Linked DNA regions of Kluyveromyces lactis. The protein of the gene in region 1 binds, or shares a complex with, the protein of each later gene. Links are inferred from orthologs where the notes say so. Each region holds a gene or a part of one and is shown on either strand. Other genes may lie near its edges.

Region 1 (2,592 bases):
ATTGGAAAATTACAAAAAGCGCACAGGTGATAGTGTGTTTTGAGTTACTCTAACCTTTCAGCGAGATGGTAAAAAAAAGAACAGCTTTAGTTTAAAACGTCTGTTGTGGTGTTTATTTCCCTTTGTATACTATATTGATAAATAACATTTTCACCCCAATCTTAATAAACAAAACAACTAATATCAATATTGCTTTCTTATGATGTTGCGATAAGTCTTTGGTTATGGAAAGAATATATTAAACCGAATTTCGACCTGCAATCTGCTGAAGAGGTATATAAAATTGTATATTTATGAAGAACCTCTTTCGAAGTGAAAAAAAAAAGCCTAGAGATTTCATTATGGAACGGCAACATATGACTTCATCAGCAGGTATTATAAGCAACGCTTTGTCCAGATCTAGGGAACTGTTGCAGCTAGAAATATGAGAATAGGATAAATAGAAGGGAAAACATATCAGAAAGATTTCAAATACTGCTTCGGTATATATCTAGAGCAAAAGGTGTGGAAGAATAGAAAATAATAGCATCGTAGACATTCGACAATGCATTTCATCTTATCATCACTTCAATATTGTTATTCAGGTTCTTTCTTTTAGATCATCTTTTCAACAATATCTGGTTCAAAATTGTGCATTAGTTACTTGTTTTGCATCAAGCAGAACAACCTAATGGAATCATAAAAGAAAACTTAAAGGGAAGAAAGTTTAACTTAATCTCATTCCTCAGAAAACAGGGCATCGTCACCAAAAGTGTTTTCACTCGAATAGGATACATAAAGGAACCCGTCCTTATCCTTGTGTTGTTGGTAAATAGAAGACATTAAAGCTGCTGTTGGAGGTAAAGTATCATTGACAAAGATGAAAATAGCCTTTTCAGCAGGTAGCTTGATTCTCTTTCTAATTACATAAACAAATTGGCCAACAGTCAAATCTCCTGGCACCAAATATTTGCGTTTATCAATGTCTGGAATATCCGATTTGCCACCTCTTTCACAGATCACTGGAATACGGTTATGGAACTTTTGCACTATCCTTTCAGATTCAGCCTTTCTCTTTTCAAATGGGAACTCAGATTTGAATGCAGATTTCATTGCGTTTTAAAACTCTCTCCTATAATACGTAACACCGATAAAAATAATCAAACTCTCTTGAAATATTCTCCTGTCTCTATTTCAAACTAATAACCCGAAAAGATGTTTGTAACTTAACTTTCAAAAGTCTAGCTGATTTGTTCCAACTCTTGAATCGTGTTGTGTCTCTTTTTATCCGTCTTTCTGGTTCTTTCTCTCTCTCAAGAAAAAAACTTGCACGTAATAGCACTGTACTGCACTTTTCTTGCAAAACTCAAACAGATTACTGGGTAGCTAAGAAAAACGCTCTTTGTTTAGTTATCGATGATATGCGCCGCTTTGATCTTCGCGTGTGTTCCCTTTTTATACCCTTTCTGCTGTTTGGAAAATGACAAAACAAAAGTGTTCCCCCCTTAAACGGTTTGAGATGCCGTTGACCCTTAAGTCACGTGGGAAAGACAGAAAATGAATCACGTGATATCCGGGTAACAATACTATGTACGTATATATGTGTGGAAGCTGCTGCTCTATATGCTAAAGCCAGATAAGGTTTCCTCGAGCTCCTGTTGTTCTTGCTCCATCAAGGATTCGTACTCTTCCTGCAGTTCTATCAGCCGTATCAGCTCTTCATCCTCATTTAGCTGTTTTGGCTCCCTCTTTGTGGAAATATTATTCAACATAGCGGGTTCATCGGCACTATTCACGACCTCTCCTTCATCTTCTACCAGTCTATCAATCTCATCTGGCGGTATCTCGTGTTTCTGTGCTTCTTGTTGCATGTCTTGCAAGTGTCGTAGGTATTCTTGTTCCATGACGAATTGTTCCATGTCGTTTCTGTAGCTATTGATCTTCTTCTCTCTTGCCAGTTCCCGTAGTCTGCCCTTCCTTCTTTCTCTCATAAGGTCTCTAATGGGGGACGATGATGATAACGGTTGCTTGTACCTTTGATATTTGAGCTTTCGCTCTTCCAATATTTCATCAGTGATATTAGAATCGGCTCTTCCATCGTTACTTTGGACATTGTCAAGATCGGAATCGCTATCTTCTTCGTGATATCTGCCATGAACCGGACTGCTCGGTATACAGTTCATGTAGAGCTTCAAAGTTGTGGATTAACGTCTGCAATACACCGGACGGCCTGCTCCAGGCTTCTTTCCCCAGCGTACATAGAAATAACCTTAATCCTTTTGGCGTTTAATGATGCTGGTCTAGAGATATGGTTTTTTGTTCGATTAACTTCATAAACTGAAAACGCCTTAGAATTACATATACACATTATATTCGAAATAAGATATGAGATCGACTGTTGCTAGAGAATCAGCAGAGGTGATCTACGGAGCCAATAATTGCAATTAAATTAATTAAATGTGGTGAATTTATAAGTAGTACGGACGGGTTTCGTTTCACTAGAGAAACGTAACTGCTATACATTTTTTCCCACTTTATATACATTTCAACATCTATAATTTGAAAATCTTCAACTTGAAGATGGTATCGTTGATAGATAGTTCTTCATCAGCA
Region 2 (4,285 bases), about 1.3 Mb from region 1:
AATCTGCCATCGCTTCGGCAGCAACTTCATCATTACCCTGCTGGTCATGTAATTGCTGCTCGCTTAATTGATCATCTTCTAATTGTTGATTTTGTTCTTCGTCAGGTTCAGTTTGTGAGACAGGAGTTGGAACATCTTTGTCGAAAACACTTTCTGGTTTTTCCTCCTCCTCAGCTGGCTGGGCAGTCTGAATTTGCAGTCTTTTTTGAATCAATTCGTTTGTATACTCATCATCAGGGGTTTCTCCCATGGCTAACTTCATTTGATTCTCAGAGAATTTTTGGACTCTATCGGCATAGTCATACTGTTGCTTCTCAAACTCTGCATTTGCTGCTTCAAACTCCGACTTCCTTTTATTCAAATCATTAAATAGTTCTTGCAACCTCGATACTTGATCACGGTATAGTTGTTCCTGCTTTTCTATCTCTGCTGTTCTGGATTGAACTTCCAATTCACGTGCATGTACTTCTTCAGAAGTTGCAAGGTATTGCTTATGTTTGTTTTCCATCTCAGCGTGCTGAGCCTCAATAGTAGCTTTGTAGTCATCCAATTCTTTGTGCTTTGATAAGTAGATACCAAGGGTTTGTTCAAGACTTTGAATTTCTGTTTGAAGATTGTTGGCAGTCATCTCTGAAAGTTCTAACTGCTTGGCATGAATATCGACTCTGGATCTTTCAGCTTTAGCATTCTCTTGAACTTCAGCCAACTGTTGCTGTAACTGAGAGGACAAAGTGTTAAACTGGGCCAACCTCTCCTTTAACTGCCTTTCCTCTTCTTGAGCTTGTTGCAACTGTGTTTGCAAATCCTCGTTCTGAGTCTGCACAGCATGATAATTTGCCTCTGCAACAGAAGCTTGTTGACTTAACTCTTCGTTTTGTGCACGAAGAGCGTTCAATTGCGTCTGTATCTCCTCCGTTTGACGAACTTCTTCATTGTAAGACGCACGCAAACCAATGAGTTTAGTCTCGATCGATGCCTTCATGTTAGTTATACGAGTAAGTTCATTCTGAGCAGCTGTTTTCTCTTCATGAACTTTCGTAGCTTGTGTCGTTAATGAACTCACCTGAGTGGAGAGATTTGCAAGTTCAGTAGTGGCCTGAGAAAGCGATGCCGGTGGCACAATTTCACGATTGTTAGAAGTGACTTCCCTCGAAGGGACAGAAACACCTCCAAAGTTTGGAACACTTGGTAACGAAGAATTACGTGCAGTGGGTGGTGGAGGAGGAGCTGCAGAGCCTACGTGTGTAGGAGCAGTTTGCATATACTGCTGCTGCTGCTGCTGCTGCTGTTGTTGTTGTTGCTGGTCGTTACCACCTTCTTCAGGGATAATGGTTTGTCCAAATGTAGATGAAGGTCTAAATTTCCTAGCATTTGGTGCCAAATGTGTTGAAGGCTGAGCCGATGATTGTGGCTGGGAAGGAAGAGATGGAGGCGGAGGAGTGAATGATTCATTTAGACCAAGCAAGTCATCCAGAGCGCTATTACTGGTTTTCTGAGCTTGAACCGGAGCTGCAAAATTTTGGTAATTTTGACCAGCATCTCCGGTGCTTGCTACACTAATGCGCTGTTGTTGTTGTTGTTGTTGTTGTTGATGGTACAAACCTAAAGCTGGCGAATTTAATAATTGATCAGGAACAACATCTGGCAATTCGATCCCGGCATTCTTCTTCTGAATTAAAAACATTGCAATCGCAAATTCAACCTTAGTGAAAACTGGACTGTTATGAATATCAGCAAGATCCCACACAGTTGCTAAGACATCCTGTCCCAATTTCGATGTCAAAAAAAATGGAACTAAGACGTTAGAACCTAAGGAACCCTTTTTCTCTTTATCCAAAGAATCGAAAATAGCGTCAAACTGCTGCTTTTTTTCAAGAGTCAAGGTCCAATCTGTTGCAGCATTAGAAAAAGTACCGGATGGAAGTCTGGACAAAGAAGGTTTTCTGATAATTCCCGGATTTCTGACAACAGATCCACTGCCAGATGTGAAAGAGAAGCCTGTGTTATTGGCGCTCAGTGGAGTCAGAGTAGAAGATGCTGTACTATTCAAAGAATTCCACAAATAATTTGGCAAAGTAGAAGGTAAGTTTTGAACGGCTGCGTTTTGCTGTAGTGTTAGCTGAATCAAATGCATCGCCATAACAAACTCCACTTTATCCAAGCTTCCGCTATTGCTCCTGTCACACAACCCCCAAATAGTACCTAGAGTTTGAGTTGGTAACTTTGCTTTAAGGAAGATTTCTCTTGCTTTATTACCAGCTAGGAAACCGCTTTCTTCCGTTGATCTGTCAAATAATTGGGCAAACTTGGCATAATCATGAGGAGTGCATACAGGAATGACGGAATAAGTTGGCGACGAACCCGTATTAGTTCTGCTCACCGATCTATTGATAACAGAGGGGACTCTCTGGACAGAATGAGACTGATTTGATGGTGGTGGGATAGATGGTTGTGTAGAAGCAGAGTTGAACTTTTGACTTTGTCCGAATGAAGGGAGCTTCGAAGCAGGAGTCTGATACAATTCTAAAGTAACTTGCGCACCTGGATTTTCCTGTAAGTGCGCAACCATTCTTAGAGCGGCGTTAAATTGATCAACAGTTAAGAAGCCCGCGTTTTCGGTATCGCAAATGGTCCATATTTGCGACAACTGTTGCGGAGTTAACCCTGATTGACTAAACAAAGGTCTTAAAGCTTCTCCAGTCACAATTCCCAATTGTTCTCTATCTAACCGAGAAAAGTGCTGGGAAAATGCTTGCTTTTCCTCACTAGTGAGGGGTACACGGAACGCAATACCTGACATGGTTCCCAGAGGCGTGGTGGATGTGTATCTGTTGCAGTTTATCGGCTATATTTCACGAAAGGGGTTTCGACCATTTGATCCAATTTGTCGTTATTCAATTATCTCAAAAAGATGATGAAACTATATAATCGTGCAAGATGACTTTCGGATCGCATAAAGAAGTGAAGCATTGATGTAGGATTAAGGTTTCCAATGCGATGAGAGAGTTGAGTTTATCACTTCATTTAGAAATTGTGTAGAGTGTATGCAACTCTTATTGAGAGTTTTTATGAAAATTGATAAATGATAAGATATAAATACGCAGTAACATTTTTCTCGAGTGTATGTTTTGTTGTCTTCCTCGGATTAACTACTGATGCCAGGTTAAAGCTAATAACATCAACTCATGATAAGCTCGCCCATTGCATAGTATTTTGCATTGAAACCGTTCTGTTTACCATGATGTTTGAATGTGATACCGTACAGTTGCCGGCATTCATCCCCAAAAGACTACGATCAAGGAATTTGGCTGCGTACGAACCTTTTTCCATGAACAAATATCTATTGGCATTTATTGTATGCTGCGTATGTGCCAGTACGAGCAGTGAATTTGCACAACAGTTCCTCTCACGAGGAAAAAGGTCCTTTGATGTAAACGATATTTTGGCCAATTTTTCGGGAAGTCTGCTGGGCCTAGGAATTGCATATAAGATAGAGCAACAAATTCAGCATAACTATGAAAATCGATAACGTTCATTTATATTTCACGTATACATATGTACAGGTTTATTCAAGTAAATACAGTGGAGGTTGGAACTTTGATCATTTTAGGTTAATGTAAGCTCTGTGTGCAATAGCAGTCTTATGAATAGAGTCTCTCTTTTCGAAACCTGAACTATTACCGTTGAAGACAGATACCAATTCTTCACCAAGTCTTACTGAGAAATCGCTCGATGATCTCTTCACAGAACTTTCCACAATCCATTTCCAAGCTAATCTAAACCTTTGTCTTTGATTCAATGGAACTGGAACCACAGTGGCCTTTGCGACACCAGTCTTGAAGGTCTTGATAACCATAAGAGGCGCCAACACATCCAAGGATTCTTTCAAAACTTTTACCGGGTCTTTCCTTGTTTGACAGAACACAATATATAACGCTCTTGAAAGAATCTTCTCAGCTCTTTCTCTTTTCCCGTGTCTCATAATCATATTCGTTACATGCTGTAAAACTGGATCCTGTTTTTTTGGAATGGGAACTTGCTTCAACGTTTCCCATTCATTTATTTGCTCTTGACTTGGCTCAAAGCTGGGCTTGTTCAATTCCATAGCCTTCTCCAAGATATTAATTCTAGATTGGTTACCTGGTGCAAGGGACGTAGCTGGGTTATAATCTTGTTGCGAAAACTCTTCTTCTAACGATCCAATAACTTTCAACCATTCATCAACCTGTTCGTCGCTAAGGCTAGCTAATTTCTCCCCTGTAGACGCATTATTATTCACAGATTG

Evidence for each region. The genes of interacting proteins can lie anywhere in the genome.
Region 2: the proteins of ATG8 (region 1) and EDE1 are in contact, whole or in part, in a crystal structure (PDB 6WY6), measured with the Saccharomyces cerevisiae proteins. The link is inferred for Kluyveromyces lactis from reciprocal best matches to the Saccharomyces cerevisiae genes ATG8 and EDE1. Residues at the interface, in NP_009475.1 of Saccharomyces cerevisiae: Phe5, Ser7, Glu8, Tyr9, Pro10, Glu12, Lys13, Ala16, Glu17, Arg20, Ile21, Arg28, Pro30, Lys46, Arg47, Lys48, Tyr49, Leu50, Val51, Pro52, Asp54, Leu55, Gln59, Phe60, Tyr62, Val63, Lys66, Arg67, Phe104; in NP_009506.1 of Saccharomyces cerevisiae: Phe1226, Ala1230, Asn1231, Ala1232, Gly1233, Ser1234, Glu1236, Gln1237, Phe1238, Glu1239, Thr1240, Ile1241, Asp1242, His1243, Asp1245, Leu1246.

The regions. Positions count from the first base shown.
Region 1 is NC_006041.1:1,828,197-1,830,788, reverse strand, and holds ATG8 (ubiquitin-like protein ATG8), read right to left. Parts: upstream 1,093-2,592; coding exon 718-1,092; downstream 1-717. Other genes in the region: NUP170 (Nup170p), read left to right, coding at 1-43; RTT105 (Rtt105p), read right to left, coding at 1,599-2,162; isoleucine--tRNA ligase ILS1, read right to left, coding at 2,532-2,592.
Region 2 is NC_006041.1:513,596-517,880, reverse strand, and holds the start of EDE1 (Ede1p), read right to left. Parts: upstream 2,801-4,285; coding exon 1-2,800. Other genes in the region: KLLA0_E05765g (uncharacterized protein), read left to right, coding at 3,083-3,529; RSM7 (mitochondrial 37S ribosomal protein uS7m), read right to left, coding at 3,602-4,285. UniProt on the Saccharomyces cerevisiae protein: Functions at the internalization step of the clathrin-mediated endocytosis (CME) as an early-acting scaffold protein. Requires clathrin adapter proteins, ENT1/2 and YAP1801/2, for normal spatiotemporal dynamics and viability.